Neodiprion lecontei: one gene and its partner. The protein of the gene in region 1 purifies or fractionates together with the protein of each later gene. This does not show direct contact. Links are inferred from orthologs where the notes say so. Each region holds a gene or a part of one and is shown on either strand. Other genes may lie near its edges. The genes, in order: cyclin-H and general transcription and DNA repair factor IIH helicase subunit XPD.

The links.
Region 2: the proteins of cyclin-H (region 1) and general transcription and DNA repair factor IIH helicase subunit XPD purify together in Homo sapiens (affinity purification with mass spectrometry; 3 studies listed by BioGRID and IntAct, counting the BioPlex papers as one, with this or other methods). This does not show direct contact. The link is inferred for Neodiprion lecontei from reciprocal best matches to the Homo sapiens genes CCNH and ERCC2.

Annotation. Positions count from the first base shown.
Region 1 is NC_060263.1:34,018,051-34,026,376, forward strand, and holds the start of cyclin-H, read right to left. Parts: upstream 5,247-8,326; 5' UTR 5,132-5,246; coding exon 5,015-5,131; intron 4,405-5,014; coding exon 4,180-4,404; intron 4,050-4,179; coding exon 3,876-4,049; intron 3,678-3,875; coding exon 3,452-3,677; intron 3,351-3,451; coding exon 3,239-3,350; intron 3,076-3,238; coding exon 2,934-3,075; 3' UTR 2,925-2,933; exon of another isoform or gene 274-2,924; intron 1-273. UniProt on the Homo sapiens protein: Regulates CDK7, the catalytic subunit of the CDK-activating kinase (CAK) enzymatic complex. CAK activates the cyclin-associated kinases CDK1, CDK2, CDK4 and CDK6 by threonine phosphorylation.
Region 2 is NC_060266.1:18,324,670-18,334,826, forward strand, and holds the start of general transcription and DNA repair factor IIH helicase subunit XPD, read right to left. Parts: upstream 6,932-10,157; 5' UTR 6,801-6,931; coding exon 6,793-6,800; intron 5,382-6,792; exon of another isoform or gene 5,202-5,381; coding exon of another isoform or gene 5,197-5,201; intron 5,106-5,196; coding exon 5,006-5,105; intron 4,283-5,005; coding exon 4,028-4,282; intron 3,952-4,027; coding exon 3,718-3,951; intron 3,489-3,717; coding exon 3,365-3,488; intron 3,183-3,364; coding exon 3,086-3,182; intron 2,967-3,085; coding exon 2,833-2,966; intron 2,702-2,832; coding exon 2,172-2,701; intron 2,082-2,171; coding exon 1,906-2,081; intron 1,719-1,905; coding exon 1,439-1,718; intron 1,322-1,438; coding exon 1,211-1,321; intron 1,103-1,210; coding exon 1,004-1,102; intron 823-1,003; coding exon 688-822; 3' UTR 1-687. Other genes in the region: odorant receptor 83a-like, read left to right, coding at 8,863-9,084, 9,146-9,696, 9,773-9,872, 10,130-10,157. UniProt on the Homo sapiens protein: ATP-dependent 5'-3' DNA helicase. Component of the general transcription and DNA repair factor IIH (TFIIH) core complex, not absolutely essential for minimal transcription in vitro.

The DNA of each region.
Region 1 (8,326 bases):
CGGGCTGGATAAAAAGTAAGACGTGCCATTTGTCCACGACCAGCCGACCGAAAAGTAAAAACTTTCTACGAAAACTGTAACCGACCTGTCTGTGACGAGCACAGTTCAATCTTTTGTGAAATTTGTGCCACTATAAACCGATCGGTATACCATTAAGCCTCGATGGTTATTTTCTATATTTATAAAAATTATTTGTTGAATAAAAAATTCATTCAAAGTTGAAAAAAAGATGCAATATGTAATTTTTCATTGACTTCACCCATTTACGGCTTTTTGTTATTTTCAGTTTTCGGATAAATAAATAATTATACTTTTTGAAAAAAATGAATCGATACACCATTTCATCTCAAGGCTCAGTGTACTCCCTTTCAAATCCCGTTGGAGTTTTGGAAATCGGTTAATTAGAAAAAGAATGAGACTATTTTGACTGAAAAAAGTCATTTTTAGCTCTTCACCGCCCTTTTTTTTTTTTGCTTTAAACAAGTTCTTCTCGTTTTCATCTCAAAGGAAAGGGATTTTAATATATACCTTCGTGTTTCTGATTAAAAAACGACGAAAATGATGCATAATAAACCTATCTTATTGGAACTAGAAAGGCTTGTATTGTTTGGAAACGCTTGGGGTACTCCGATGCCCCAGTTACCCCGTAGAAAGTATAAAAATTAGGTTGCCCCGTCTAGGGTTAAAAAATGCAGAATTCTCTAACGTTTTTCCACAAAACATAGGTAATGTGGAGCAGCTTTTATGACGAAAAGCTCCAGAAGTTCCGCACCTTGAATATATAAATTTGGATCTAAAAAGCACATAGTATTGCTTAGTTTCACACAAATACTTAGAAATTGAACGATACCATTTTAGACGGTTAGCTTAACTGAATTTACGAAGCTCAGCTGAAGTTTGAAAACGATTTATAGAAAAAGTACGTTTTTCTTTATAGTCCATCATAATTCTTTGATTTTTCCCGGTCTTTTTCCAATATACGAAATTCCCTGACTATTCCCGGGTTTCCCAGTCTGTCGCCACCCTATCATTTCAACTGCGAACTAAGGAGATACGTGGTTATGTAATCTTTGTGGCTGTTTCAGTACCAAAAGCCACGGTGGACTTAGGTTTCGATTTTCTAAATTGGAAACTTCAGGTGTTGATTACACATTTGAAATAAAAATGTAGTAATTGGATGATAAGCAAAACACGGGTGTTGTAGCGTAGCGTTAAATTTTACAGTGTTATTTGAGAAATCTTCAAGCAGATAAAGCAATCAAGTAAATAGTTTTGTACGCCGATTGCACCGGATACTCAGATTCCAATTAACTGATTCATTAGGACAACGTAAATTGAACATTGTTTTCCTCTACCTAAGGTACTCCGAATAATTCGCATATTTGTTATCCATTAGTTTGTATATGGGGCATTCCACGTCAACTTCGTCAACCGAAAAAAAAATGTTTCAAAATTTTCAAAAATAATATACTTGATGGAATTTTGATTTTTTTATTTGAACATCAGTTACGACAGCTTAAACGTCGCGGAAAATATCTGCAAAACATTTTTTTTTCAAACACTTGAATTCAAGACGAATCGAAACACCACCTTACTGTTTTTGATACGATTGTTCAATTTGGAGGTATCATCGATTAAAAGTTCGTAAATTTTTGAATATCGTAAAATTTAGGCTTGCAAGAACTCCGGAACGGAGGCTCCGAAAATTTTTAAATAAATCAGAGACACCACTTTCGCATGGTATAACAAAATCCTAGAAGAATGAAATCAAAGGTAGTGAGGCCTGGAGGTGGCTGACTTGACGTGGAATGCCCCATACACGCGTTTCGGCCAGCTGATTTACATTAGTTTACGATTTAGTGAAAAATCATTGCTTTGGGTACGAACATATTTTATAAGGTACTGGAGATATTGGAAGCTTATAATTACAAAATGAATACCTATGTACTACGCCCCGAGATTGTAGTCGTTAGAGATGCACAATTTTTGACAGTAACTGAGAAACAATTATTCTATTTTGTTTCTAGTTTTTTTTATTTTACTGTCTTTAATAGCACATTATGTGATAAAGAAATAATAGTCTTTATAGCCGTATTGCATATAGGACTTTATTCCGGACTTGACTGTCGCAACTTTATTGACTTTAAAAGTTGAAACCGCATTTAAGGGAAAAACAAGGGAACAAAAAAAAAAAAAAATTTGCGGAGAAAAGTACAAGAGGGAATGATAAGCTACTTTTGTCGGCCTTTGCAGGTCAATAAAGTGGCCATTACGGTTAAGTTAGGAATAAAGTTTTATTGCTGCCTGAGTCTACTTCAAAATTGAAATTAAGGGGATATCCAGTTGTGATACAGTTTATAATTCTTCAAGGATTTCAATTTTCAAAAACACTATTTTCATCTACAAAAATAAAGTGGTGTTCATTGCTTTTAAGTATTGTATATGTTATGAAATATAGACTTTATTGAGAGCTTCGCTAGTTTTTATTTATATAGCAGAATTTTACCTTCAGAGTCTAGTTGTAAAAGAAAGTTAATAGTACAAAATTCAAGAAACTAGATTCATTTTACAAGTTTTAGAGAATTATCAACTTTATCATGTCGCTAGACACCCAAAATGATTAAAACATGGGGTGGAAAATGTTAAACTGTTGTCTTGAACATTATGAGTGACACTGTCGAATACAATTGAATCATATGGGTTCAATCAGGATTTGCAGTGAATACTCAAATTTTGTAGATCACTTTTCGTAATTTCAAAGAAATGAAAACAAGATGTAGCACAAAAGAAGCAAGATATGCTAGTGCAACTGACTGAATATGAAACGATGATAAGTGTGAAATATCACACAGTCCTCTACGCCCTGTGCTTAAAGATTACTTATTTTCGTAAGTTGAAGTCTTTTGAGAAATTTAGTGGCAAACCTTTCGATGCTACAACGCCGATGGAGATAGAGATTTACTCACGCCCAATACTTTCTCGTCATGCTCTGCTTGGTCTTGAATGATTTTTGCGTATTTTTCATTATCCCGTAAATCATCCTCGTCCAGCATGTCCTGCATTCTTTGTTTGTAACTGAAAAAGTTAAGTAAAGGTACACAGTTAAGTGAAGAAGTAAAATGTAATAACTTAAGTAGCACAATTAGATGTTTCGAACTGGCATTTGGTACTTGAATTTGAAGACCAGCCTTACGTGCGGAAAAAATGTTTGGCAAAAATTCGTGAATGCAAGGCTTACATTTCACTGTCTGGATTATTCGCTTGATTTCGGCACTTGTCCAGTTTCTTCTCGAGAGACCGGACCACTTCTCTTGTTGGAGGCTCAACACACTTGGCCATTGATCTTATTTCTGAAAATTTAATATGACATAGTTACAATCGGTGATAATGTGTCAGAAGAAAAATGACGAAGATGATGAAACATCCCCAAAAACGATTATGATCGACTTACTTCTAACAGCCTCGATGATTCCTGGCAAATGTTCCCTCGAGAACAGTGTGTCTGTTACGTAATTGTCTAGATTAGCAGCAGCTCTCGACGCTGCGTGCAAGGTGGCAGCCAAAGCAATTTGACTCGGAGCGTAAATCAGAATACTATCTGTGAGAAACACTCTTTCAAGAAAATCGTCGATATGCGGTCTGAGCTTCTCTGGATTTTCAAGTGATGTGCATCTGGTCTAAAAACACAGGAAAAATTAATAGAAAATTACAAAAGGCTCGATATGATCTTGATGAGTGAACCATGAATAGCAGAAATAAGGGCTTAAGTTAAAACTGAATTGTCAAGAGAAATTTACAAAATAAGAGATAAAAATTTCAGCCAATGATTCTGCAGCTTGGAAAATAAGTAGATTCCCTTCGTAAGCTACACTCACCTTTATATCGATCATCAAGCCCTCTACAGGCCTGAAAGGATTATGGACAGTCAGGTTATAGTTGAGCTGCTGCATGAGTAACAATTCGTTGTTTAAAATGATGTCTGATGCCTTTTCTCTGTCTCCTTTGATATTCGCTACGAACTGGGATATTGAGACATTGAATTCTTCTACCTAAGAAAGAGAATTGAAAAAATAATAAAATCTGGAAACAGTTGAAGTTTTGTTCATCGCAATAAAAAAAAGTTAATTGCAAGTCATCTCTGCAAGTATGTTAAATTGTATTCATATTACAAATACTTGCCTTGCAGCCAAGGTAGACGCACGTGACAAGGATTTCCTTAGGATGGTAATCCATAACGCTGTTCCTTAAATAGAACCTCTTGAAGTAGTGAAGCGCAGTTGCTACGGTAGGTCTTGGCATGGGCGGAACAAATCTGCGACAGAAGTCTCGGAGTTGTAATTCATAGAATTTGAGTAATATCCGTTCTTCCGAAGTCGTTAGGAAATGCTCCTCTCTTTGATCGCGCTGTACGAGTGGAAAGAACGAACCATTTTTCAAAGACAAAGTATTACTCCTTGACGGAAACGCAAATGTATGGGACAACATTTACACAGAGCATGCCGATCGAATATTAGGCAAGAATTTTTATGTCCGTATAAATATCAGTCTTCTTCCCACAAACGGTGAAGACATTTTTACCGCCATTATTTGGCGTCCCCAAGTTTATAGGTATTTAATCAACAAACTGCGTGAGCATTTATGTACGATCAAAGATTCAAAATAGCGTGTTCTCCAGTACACGTTGTGTATAATTAAAATTCTCAAATAAATTTATCCACCGGGTAACACCGTAATTGCTTTGCAATCGCGCGGAATGTTCATCACGTAATTGATACGTATGTCAAAATAAAAGACGATTAGAGAGTACGGAGATTTGCTTGCGAAAGATGGAATATTTTCGATTGGTGAATCAAATGTTAAAACGCACGCTGTTCGAAGCTGATATAATTATCCATAACTTTGTATGAACTGGCTTTTGTCGAGTAATTTCTTTCGAATTGACAAAACACGCTTTTTGGGTTATAGCTATAGATATATCGATTGGGAGATAGAATAAACTGGAATAAACACTCACCGGCACGTTCACGCCATGCTTCTCGATGAATTCCGAGTTAGTCTTCTCGCGAAGTTCCGTGATGTCATTTTCATCACTGAATATCCAGTACATCTTTTGAGAGCTCATTGGAAACATTTTCAATATATTTAATATCGCGTGAGCAGCTGAATCGCACCGTAAAAGACTCCCTAATCAGATACCCTGCGACGAACGTCTTTGTCCTCCAATGCCTTCCTACCGCTTCCTGTTGCGCTGCTCACTAGTGCTCACTGAGCAATGGCGTCAAATGAGACTCCTGCTCACTGGTCAGTTTCAGCTACTTCGTGGTTTCAGCAATCAGCAATGGCCGCTGGGGCTTGGCGGTAAACTTGAATACGCCGGGTACTGTCATCACGCTGCCAGGTTTGGCATATGCCGTTGACTGATAGTCTTCAGTCAACGCATATGCGTTGTATATCTGAAATATATATTGTTTTATATTGAAAGAATATACTTCAGCCAATGTATTTCTGTACTAGATAACGCTGCGGAGGCGCGGGAGGATTTGAAATTTTCTTATTATTAAAACTTTATAATACATGCGAATAAAGTTACAAATGAAATTACTATCGCCTGAATAAAACTAAATAGTTTAAAAAATAGCGAATGGATAGCTATATGAAAGAAAACCTTTAATACACCACCGATCGAATTGAAACTACTTATTGGGTTGAGCAAAGAAAATGTGCGAACAAATCATGAATCGGTACAGGAACATTTAAATTTCGATGGAAGAAACTTATCATCTTTTTGATATTAATGTTCAGGGAAATCTCCAATAGCTTATACAAATGACACAAAGTGTTTAATTTGTATCGGTATAGTAGCGTTCCTGCAGGTGTTTCATATAAAGCTGGTCAATTGGTGTTGCTTCAAAGACTTCACGAAGCTACGGATAGAGCTCGCTACTCTGCAGTGCAGTCGGTTATAAAAATCCTTGGATTCCGAGTATATCGAGAAGTTAGGGAATATTACGGGAATAAATTAATCACAATCATGAACACTGATATCGTTATGCGATACTTCATACATGTAGAGTATAATTAATATTCCGTTGGTAGAACGATATATTTCGCGCGTTGTTGGATTTCAAGTTCTCGAAATGAGCTGAATTATCCCGCAGGTGGATGTCATGGTATATAAATTAGGCCTAATTCATCGAGCAAAAGTTGTAATAAAGCAGTTTTTAATATGTCGCATTAAATGTCCCATGTTATAAGTCGAAGGCTGTTTTCGGGTAAACAATCGCTATACGTTGCGTTGCCTATTGTCTGCAATTTTGAGCAAAGTCGTCACTATCGTCTTAATTAACGAATATGACTTCTATTATGTACTAAAAACGACTCGATGTGTAATTAACGACTATACTCACGATGAGAGTCTTAAGAAGAGTGTTCAAATTGCGATTTATCTTTTCGCGGTATTGCATAAATAATATTCATGTTTGATATTAAATGCTACTTGTTCGTCTCGCAATAATTGACCTCGTTGACCTTTTCTTTTTATGAAAGTATGACTGACGAATTTACGGCGGCTGATATCATGTCGTATAATCGACTAAAGCGATTATGAATTGCAAGTCACCGCTTGATTACTGGTTGTAAGCTCGAATTGTGTTTGTATCACATTTGACCCTGTCGGCAGGTGTTACATCCCAACCCCGTCTTAATTAGTATCGACAGTTGGGGAAACCTTCAAGAACTCATCGGGGTCATCCGACTTCCGGGGGAATAATAAAAATTCATTCGCGTAACGAGCCGAGTTTTGCAAAGTAAATTTCAATCCATATGCACGCCTCCCATTCCCAAATCGCGAATCGCCAATCTCAAAACGCTCTTCTGCGGAAGGCGGTCTTGGCACCTTTCGTTAGTCACGGTTGTTGTGATCTTATCGCAGCCGAACGAATCTCAATCTGATTGTCGGATACAGACCTTTTACTCGTCGGAGTTTACCTGCTGCTTTAAACTCGTAAATGCCCACGTGTAATAGTTGCAAGGATGTCGAATGGTCCGTCAGGCTGTGCGTGAAGTCTAACATTAGACATTAGAGGCTGACTGCAGCAATATCGCGACATATTATATATCGGTCGAATTCTGTAATTTTCTCACGGTCAAATCGACAACGTCGCAGAGCTTCAACGTAATAAAAATCATACTCGATACTGTATAAATTATGAATTATTTGAAGCGTTTCTTCGACTCGGGAGATTCCAAGAAAGAAAAATGATCGAGCTCAGTTTTATAGTGGTTAGCTGTTAACGGTGTAGCTCGAGATTCGAAAGCATTACCGACGGCAAGTCAGAAACTCCGCCTCGGCCGACGCCGGCTTAACAATCAACGGCTGCGGCGCCTCACGCTAAATCCAACTGATGCACCTTTGGCGTGCACCTTGGCCACGATTGGAATTATTCTTTCCCTGATGGAAGCTAATGACGGTGCTTCTGCCAAAGAAGTTCAATTCTAGTGCTCGATCGATAGTCCTAGACACAGGCACAACGCCCTCTTCGATGGCCTTTGAAACGGTTCTGCAGAAATTACTTTCCAGGTAGCAAGTTTTTCTTGAAAACTTGCATGTTTCTCGGAATCACGATGCTCAAATGTAATTATGATTTACATTTACTGTGCAAAATTTCATTCGATGCGACAAAATACGGGATATGTGTCAGATACCGTTGAAAATTATTGTGAATTTACTAGACATTTACTGTACAAAAGAATTGTCAATTTACGAAATTAGACAACAAATTTACAAATTCGGTGCAGTAACGTAAATTACTATGCGTTTGTCTTAAGTTTACAAGGAAAATTTTTCATTTTACTAAAATTTACATGAAAAAGACAAGAAAGTAATTCGAATTCACTAAATTGTGTAGTAAATTTATTTTATATGTAAATTGATTAAACTGTAAACATATGGTGAAATTACAGAACTTTCATTACAGCGCAGGCAGTTCCATACAAAAATTTTTAACAGCGCAATCAGTACAGTCGAACGTTTCGTCACCCGAAACGTGAGGGTAAAGCTTTTGAATATCTTGAAGCTTCAGGATCGAAGGGGCAGATCAGACTTTCGACTGCATCGCGATCTCTTATTGAAATTTGGTGTTTCAAAGACCTCGAGGTGTGAAAGTAATCGAGTTTGGTCGTAACACCTAATCTCCCCCCAGCCCCTTAATCATCCCTCATCAGCAGTCGGCAGCCCCTGCATTGATTCCGCATTAGCGTTGCTTCCTTTCCGCGTGCTTGCCGTCGTCCCCCGACAGTCGATGGTGTGTGGCAAGTCGGTTAAGGG
Region 2 (10,157 bases), on another chromosome or scaffold:
TTAGACTTTTTTGTTTAATAGCTAGTGCCACTTATTTTTCTTAATTAACGTTGCGAATTTGGAAAACCTAATTAGGTTACAACACTTAACTAAGTTCGAAATGATGATGTAATTAACGTGCTTTATTGAATACTAATTCCTGTGAACTGAAACTGTGAATTATTTAAGGAAGCTTTTTTAATAAAACATGAAAAAACAATTTAAATGAAACTTAATGTTATATTACATTCATATATCCACCGTTCGATATTTACATACCCATATCCGTATGCAATACAAGATAGAATTCTCACTAAACCAAGAAAACGTAAATATTTTTCAACTCAATGTTCACAAGACAGTGGACCGATATTCATAACAAAATATGACTAAGGTATTTATAAAGATGAATAGAATTTGAATTATCCCCTAGCAATTATGATTTCAGTTCTTTTCGTTTTTTTCATTCATTTTTTTACCAAACAAGATTTAATGTTTTCTTAGTATACATGGTGTACAAGGAAAAAAACGAGAAACAATATACATAAATAAAGTCACCTTTCATAAGACATCTTTATCAACCAGTTATCGAATAGCGGTAAAATTGTGTCTGTCGGCTAATGTGAAATTGGTATTAGAATGTGTTCTAATCTTACCCGATATTCCTCTAACTCTATACTCTTAGACCTCTAAGAATGAGGCACCATTTTAATTTTGTTGTGCTTGTTTCTCAAATTTGCTGGCTTCTTCCTTTTCCAATTGTTCCCTAGTCAAAAGAGACAATCCGAGCTGATCTTCCCTCGTAAATGGCTGAGCCATTTGTCGCAACCACCTTTTGCTTATCTAGAAAAAATTTGTTGTGATACATACGGGTTTATTTTACTTTGTACGATCGATAAATTATTTTAATTAAGATGTCGAATTTAACGATGATTATTGATTATAATACGAAGATAACATCTTCAGGATTACATTTCATATCTATAGTATTTTCAGGAGATTATAATTGATGTCATTTCAGAACCTGTATTGCTTCTTCTGTTGATAAATTGCAAAGACTGTCTGTAAGGTGTTCTTGAATCCATTTGGGCAATTTGCTTCTTTTGTCCGCTCTTGAAAAACGCTGAAAAGTTTGTAAACCAAATCATTTTCAGTAACAACGTAGAAGCTATCATTTATCGACAGGAACTCCAATCTGTGATGAATTATAAAAAACTTTAAGGTACAGTACCTTGTCCGCGAACACCATGATACCATAGTCAGTTTTGCCTCTTATGGCTCGGCCAACGCACTGCGCGGCATGCCGCATTGCATCAAACGTTAAGAAATCATTTTCTCTTATCTGAAATTTAAAGAAAAATTGCACATTTTATGTCTTGATAGATTAGAAAAAACCTGACTGAAAATTTAATCCAAGGTATGTCATAACTTTTAAAATGACAAAACTTCTGATACTAACTTGAAATTGATCTCGTAGATATTCTAGTCTGGCTTTCAAGATCCGGGACTGAGTGTAAACATAAGGTATACCGAACATAAGAACAGCTCTTCCTAAATGGTGGTCAAAATCAACCCCCTCTGACACTTTGCCTCGAGCTACGGATAATAGAACAGCTCCACGTCCATTTTCGCATGCTTTTATGTAGTTCATCAAGGCCAAACTTGTTTCTGCAGAGTCTTGTGTCTCGATGAAGAGTAATTTGTGCCTCTGAAGTTGGTCTACTACTCCTTGATCATACCTAAAAAAAACATAACGATATTTTTTAATGATTGAATCATGTTTAGTCGAAATCCGGTCAGTTTTGTAATTAATTTATTTGGTTAAAAAACCACATGTTTCCGACGTTTCGGCCGGGCCGAAATATTTTTTAATCATAAATTCACACATGTGTTCAATTATTATGCTAGATTCTCTTCACTACCTACCATGCAGCAACTACAGATTCCATGTATGAATAAGAGGTGAAAAAACAGACTAAACCGTCTGGTACAGCTGCTGAGAATTCTACCAATAATTGTCCATAATTTCTTATCACGGCGACATCTTCTCTAGTTTCAAATTTAGATGATATCGCTACCTGGTCATTACCTTTGGCAACGATCTGAAAATTAATTGAACGATTGAACGGTCATCGTGAATGAAGTACTGCATTGTTTTTTTAACTGTAAAATATGCAAAGACGAAATCTCACCATTGGTAACAAACAAGGTCTTGCAAGAGTCATGGTAAACGACGACATGATTACAGGATGAAAATCTAAGATCTTTGGATACATGTCTAAGGGCGAAAGTGTTCCCGAGGTGATAATGACTGACTGAAATCTGTCAAATATTGGTTTCATAGCAATAGAACAATCGAGACAGCTAAAATGTAGAATTGGGTTTAGAACCGTTGGTGTTTTATCATCGAATGGTTCGACTATGATAGTGAAACCTTTTGTGTACGTGGAAACAAGAGTGGCAAGGTGCGTGACCAAAATCAGAGGCGAAAAATCTGTAACATCACTAATTTCCATCGTTCGTAAAAGCGATGCCAATCTCTCCGCGCAAAACTTCAGGGGTTTTCTTTCTATGCAAACTTTAGACTGGATGTCGCGTAGAAATCCAGCTGGCGATTCCTGCATTACATGCTGCACTCGAAGCCTTGTTTTTAGGTATTCTACAAACCGCTTCAAGAATCCAACAAAGTGTTCGGCATTTCTTATGTTGCCAGGAACAACCTCTGGAAAAAAGATACATGCATTTTTTAATCAGCGCTATATCTCACCGTAAGTAAAGCAAAGAAAATATAACCATTTCACAACATTTTCATTGATTTATCGGATGAAAGTTACTCATGTAAGTTAGACTTACCTTGAAGTACTTCATCTGGCAAAATTGGGTTGGACAAAATAATGTCAGTTTCTCTTGCCGTTTGCGCACCTTTGAGGCCTTCAACTAATCTACTGTATTCCTCTTTTAATTTATTCACGTCGTCTTCTCTCATCCTGAAAATCATAAATGAACGAATAACAAAGAGCAATGTCGGTTTTTATGAACTAGAAAATTTGTGTGAAACTTGGAACTTAATATCTATATAAACTAATTGTGATTTGGTTTAACTTACTCAGCCACAGTTTTCTCCAAAATTTGTATATTTGCCGTGCTTTTTTCAACTATTCTTTTGTTTATTTTGACGCTCATTGAGTCTATGCATACGTTGTCTGAAAATAATGTCGAAAATCTTCTGTTAAGTACAATGGATGTGGCCACACTTTTGGCTCCCCAATATCATTAACAATACGATGTAGTTTGTATATCCATTTGTTTCATGTGTTCAATTTATGCCCATGTATGCTGTATGCACGTATGTTCTTAAAAGTTTGATTAAATAGAAAATTATTACCGATGTTGTGTGCCTCGTCAAAAACTACAACAGATGTTTTACTCAATTCTTTAGATACAGTTTCAGCAATTTTTGGATCGAGAAGATAGTGGTAACTGTATACAACGATGTGAGCTTGCAGTATCTGAAAGATAAAAGAAAAGTTTTCAAATCTGTAACTGGACCACATGATTCAAACAGTTCCAGTCCTATGTAAAACAAAATATACATTGTTCAAGTCAAGAAATAAGAAGAGAGAAGTGGTGACAATAATATGACAACAAAAATTTTGTTTTCAAAAGAACGAGTAAAGAAACAGGTTTATAAATTAATAAATTAATTGATCAATGAACTTAAATAATTAACAGACCAACCGTAAATCTAGCCAAAAAATATGGACACCAATTCCTGTCTCTTCCATACTCTTTCAGGTCATCCAGGGAATAAATTCCAGCAGGCACAATCTGTTCACGTCCCTCTAAATCGAATCCCTCATAAAAGCTGCAAACTGGCGTTGATTCATCGTAATTATGCCTTTCTCTTATATACGAGGCAGTGAGGGAATGACATCGACCGTCAACAATTTTTCCTTCACGTTCCCTGCTTATCTGAAAAATATAATCATCTTATCAATCAGCTGATTCTTTGTTATTAGAAAATGAATGAATAATATACTCAACGAACTTCTGGATGTATGCACATGTTTTTCCTAGAGCTCAGCACCAATCCAACAAGTTTTGGCTTTACTCCATCCTCTTTTTCATAGTATTCTATAAGATTTTTTAATTCTTCTATGACTTTCTCTATCTCCGGTACTGTACGTGAGCAGTATATTAATTTAGTTATCTTCAAGGGGTTTTGCAGCATGTAAGCCACAATCAGTGACAGTAATGTCACAGTTTTTCCAGTACCCGAAGGCATTTCCAAGAGGCAATGACCCTGTAGAATATATATTCATTATATTAGAGACGCCTTAACTGATTTGATAATTTTTAATAATTTACTTTCCTATGCTTGTTGATACGTGTAATTATTTTTCAAATGATGGTATTAAAAATTATTAATCATTGAATTCTTTGAGGAGGATTAGCCTATTTCATGAAAGTAGCACTGAAAGACCAACAAAGTTTCTGTTAATTAATGTGTCTCAACTACAAAGAATTATTCTTAAACCTTCATGAAATTGACAAAGCTTGATTGCGAGTTATTAAACACAAAGGAATAAATTTATAGCTTGTTGTATGGCATTTAAAAAAAGCTCTTCCTGCATGAGAGCATGAGCAATATTTAGAAGTTTCCTCACTTAAAAACAAGCATTCTACTGTTTTTCCAAATAATTACAATGATTTTATTATTCATATGCATGGAAAGTAAGACATTGAAAACTTTTTAACTTAAAGAATGTTTACTCATCAGTTGGAGGAATCAATCTCTTGGCAAATCATTGAATCAGTTTTCCTTCAAAGTGTTTAAATTACATGAATAAACATATTTTGAAGGATCAAATCTTCGCAAGCTTCAGAGAAATAATAAAATAATGTATATTTATATCGTAAGATAAATTGTGAAGTTTGGAAACGCAGTTTGGAGGTTAAGAAGGCGAATTTGTAAGCTGCTTATTAATATGGGGTGTGATATCTCGTTATTAAAGGCAAGATTTACCCTAGCATCGAGACCTCGCTTGAGTTCCAACATGTACGCATACTGTTCCGGGTAAATGTAATCGTAGGGGAAGTACACAATCAATCCGTCGACACTGATTCTGTAAGAAGAAGATGCCAAGTTTATTTCATAATACGGAATACTTTCTCGTTGCTTATTGTTTGATAACGAAATTACACCCAGATAATTACTTCATTTTTGTTGTTTACGAATTTCTTTCTGCCACATTTATAACAAATCTACTTCACTGGTTCTTATTGTTTATAGCCTCCAAAGTTCACGTTTACGATGCTTACATGCGTCAGGTTGCCGACCGCTCGTGCGAATCCAGGGTATCAGGATTAGATTAGGTTAGTTTTTTTTCTGAATGTGACAGTTAAGTTAGGTGAGGTATTAAGGTGAACTTTCATGAGTAGCAAAAACCAGCAGCAGTTTAGTAACTTACTAGATGTTACTAACATCTGTCTAGGGTGTATTCCGCAAGGAAACTGTGGCAGTCCAGTAATAGTATATTTTGAATTTTCTAACTAGCGGTTGGTACTATTTACTGGTCATTTACTGCCAAAGTGTGCCACAGTTCCCTGGCGGAATACACCCCTAGTAATTTAACGTCGCAGCTGCACTGCTTATAAAGGCCGTGTTCGTAAATTGACTGACAGTACTGAAAATTCCCTAGGACAGAGTCAGAGCTATCCATGAACTTGGAAGCGCAAAAGAGATGAAAGATTGCTGACAGTACTGTCAGTCAATTTTCGAACACGGCCAAAAACATCTTGCGTTTGCTGCTCTGCTGGTCGGATGAATGAACTTCAATTTCTAACATTAGCGTATGTATGTACATACATAGCCACTTATATGGGTATTACCATACGTGATATGGCGAATCTCTGGAAGCTAGTCTGCACCAAAGAATCTTGACTACATGAAATTAGATTAGTGCATCAAATTGATTTCTATAGAGAAGTTTAGTCGAAATCGTATCGAAAAATTACATGCAAAGACTGTATTACAAATGCAGATGACAACATCACTACTATAACTGTTGCTTCAGTAAAATAGTATGATTGTGTGATATTTGAAAACCTTAGATAGAATTTTTGAAATACTGAGAACACTGTTGAAAATGAAGATGGAATGGGTACCCATGTTTTGTAAAAATTATTGGTAACAAAAACATTTGCAGAACTTCAGATTCGTACATTGGAAAATACTTTCGAATATTTAACTAGTTATTTCTAACCCGCGTTTGTGATATTTTGCTAGATGTGACAGACTTTGAAATTGAATTGTAATACGATACGTTTCGTTTCGCGTTCGTTGTATTTCGAAATTGTGCATTATACGTTGATGTAAATGTCAGCTTCCGCTAGGTTAAAATGCCCGTAGAATGGACAGAGGCGCGAGTTTACAAACTAGTTTTATCGTACATTCGGCACGAATGCCTGTGGAAACACGATAGTGATTCGTATAATGATTTGGAGGCACGGTACACCGCATACCTGGGGATAATTCGAGACCTGAACATTCGCGATCTGACCGTGAACGAGGTTCGCGACAGAATAAAGCAAATAAAGCGAATCTATCGCATGGAATTGGTAAAGATCAACGATGCTAACTTCCGGGGATTCCCCTACAAGCCAAAAATCACTTGGTTTGAATTGATCCACGAATTTTTACGCGCTTATATCACAGAACAGGATTCTAACGCCGTTAGTTTATTACCAGGATTAAAGTTCAATTACTGAAAAAAATTATTCCTATGTATATAACTATTCTGATCAAATTACCTTCGCATGTCTAGGATAGCTCGCTACATGTTGAGGCGAATAATGGTGAGCCAGAAGAATTCAACCATCACACCTCCCAGTCGTTGTTATATTCGCAACGTTGCTGTCCAATAAACCAGTGTCCCAGCTGTGTTAGACATTTTCCAACTCAACTCAATCTCGACATATCCCCAACAAAGTTGACGAAAAATGCTGTACCTTTAAAACAGAAAATTAATCTTGCCTCGCAACATGACTTTATCAGGCAGCAAACACCTAGAGCTTTGCAATCCATTCCGAATATCAGTTCATTTTCAACCTCTGGCGATTGTTCAATAATCAGAGCTTCGAACGCAGAAGTAAAGTCACAAGTCATAACCAATTCGATCAAGAAACACAAGTCGCAAAAAAAGTATGGCGATGAATTTGATGCTTTTGGTAAGAAAATCTTATAATTTGAAATGTTTAAAAGACTCTCTTGCAAAATACTAACGTTTTTTTGTACATTCTCCATGGGCTAATTGTCATATTTATACTTGCTAGGCAAAAGTGTCGCATGCCAATTGCGCGAACTGTCATTGCCACATGCGCTTCGAACTCAAACAAACATTCAGAGTCTGCTTGCTGAGGAGAGGATAAATTCTAACAAGGAGAAAGTGATTAATAACCAAAGTGCAGAGGAAGTCTCTCAACATCACAGGCACTACAGGGATTCTCGGTGGACGCAACCTTCGAGGAATAGTCGTTCGTCATTCATCTGCAATGCAAATTTCCAATGTCCATCAGCTAGTGATTTGAGCTCTTCTGGTCACCTGAGTAATGGAAGACGCACGAAACTTGTTGAAAGAAATCAGATAGTGAATTGTCATCCGGATAATTGTATTGCCTCTAAAATTTCATATAAAAAAGCTAGTCTAAAAACTTAGTAGGAATTTAACATCTGTAGCACAATTATAAATTTCTTACATAAGCATTCACATCGTCAAAACAAGGCAAAGTGACGCGTTTAAAGTCTACGAAAAGTTTCTATTCCAAGGAAATCTGGAGTTAGTGTGTTAAAATGTTTGATGATTCATTCACGTTTGCTAAACATATTTTTTATAGTATGGTTACTTCTAATTTTGGTGTTCCTAAGTACATGTTTTTCATCTTAGTAGCAGTCTGATAAAAAATAATTTTGTATGTAATGTATTTTTTACATGAAGTTATGGATATCTTTTTGTAAAACGATTATGTCAATATACATCAATTTCTTTTATAACATAATAATAATAATCACGTTCAGTCCCGCCATATGTGTGTATGTACTCATAATCGGACAGCTTATACAGGGTGAGACAGGCATCGGTTAGTGACCATTATTATGTGTCTGCTGTCATTTTAAGATGTTTATTAGAAACATCCGCATTCACACAGAGGATAAGGAAAACTGTGAAAAACCTTCCCCAAGTGTGGCCATGCCGAGTTCAAATCTCAGCTTGTCAATTCAGCACCTGTTCGACATGATTCATCTGACCCATCATTTGAACTCAAGACCTCCCATTCTGTAGTTTCGCATACTATGTGCAATGCTCCGACGTTTGATTTTACTCTATTGAGAAAATCAATTTTTCCTCAATTGAATAAAACAATTTTTACTGTAAAAGTATTAGATTGGTAAAGGAGATAATTGTTTCCATCTCTGCCTAGTGGGAATCCCAACTTCATATCACCGAGCTGTTACGGAAATAATAGTTCTTTCACTTGTAAGATAGTCATGAATACGCAGGTGACATGAAATAACAGGTATAAAAGCTTTAGAATTCAACTACATCCTCTATAATTCAGGATGACCGAAGGCCAGTAATAATAGGTCTTTCCTCCTGACTTGCAACAACAGCAATTTTCTCAGTCAACCCTCACACTGTATGATTTCGTCTTGCATTTTTCATCCAGCCATCACCTGGCATGTCCAGAAGACGCAATCTGAGAAACAGTTCAAGCTGTCTCAAATATATTGGAAGTTTTGAGAAAACTCATGGTCAGTTCTCCGTTTTCCATTTCGAACTCTTTCCATTCTCCTCAGTCAATTCGTTAATTTCATTAAGAATTATGATCAAGCTTGAAACTTCTCTGTGGTACATAAGTATTTTTTTAAGAGGATTGTCGTTTTGGCCGCTATCCTCGGAAGCTTCAGTTGTCACAAAAACGATAAGCCTCGCTCACTTTATGCTAATCTTTTTTGCTGCTACTTTAATGTTTTTCCAAATTTTGGTGTATGTTTATCAGAATTCAATAAGTTCGCAGTTTATCGCCGAGCATGTCAGTACACAGGTAACGTATCGAATCACTCATTGTAAGATATACCACATTTACAAGTTCATCTTTTCTGCAGCTCGCATTTCTACAATTAACGATCAAGGTGGTAATGTACAGAATTCATAAAGAGAAATTATGCAAACTCTTGATGGATGTAAATCATATGATAAAGAACGGTTCTCCATGCCTGAGAAAACATCTTGAGGGATACGCGAGTACTTGTAACCTCGTTTATTTTACATACACAACCACAATATTCCTACTGGCTACAGATTATTGTCTGGTACCATTCTTTAAGGCTGACAAAGATCTGCCAATAACAGCATGGTATCCTTTCGATTACAAACAGTCAACCCTTCATTATAGTATTGCTTATTTGCATCAACTGTGCGTCATTGTCATGTCTTGGCTTTGCTCCGGAGTTGATGTGACCTTTGGTCTCCTTGTATTTTGTTGCTGTGCACGATACAAAGTCATGCAAGATATACTAAAAAGTTTGAAGCAGCCAGATATGGAGTCGATGAAATATGAAGAAAATCATGGAAAAAATGAATCTAATGATGAACTTATTGTGGCGTACAGCAAAAAAATTAAAAAATTAGTGGACCTGCATTGTCAAGTTTTCAAGTGAGTGGAACTTTGTGTAATTCGTATTACCTTTTCATGATTATTTCAAAACATTATACAAGTATTTTCTTCATAGTTCAATACGTGATATAAATGATATACATACATGGATATTACTTGTACTATTTCTTACGTCTGTGATAATGATATGTTGTGCTGGATTACAAATTACAAACGTAAGTTTTTTCAAGGAGCCTTGGAGTACATATATTATTAAATTATATTATATTGCGTTGTATTGCTTGTAATATCATGTCAACCATACGGCTCTAGAGTTTATAACACAAGAAGTCGCCTTATCTGCTTTTTGACATAGATTTCAAGTCAAAATTGTCAACAGTTTCGTTACAGAATATGAATAAGTATATCAGTCCAATATGGACATGAACACTTGCCCATGATTGACATACTCTTTGTTTGTTCTCTCACAAAGGTAGCTGAACAATCACTCAATTCCAAAT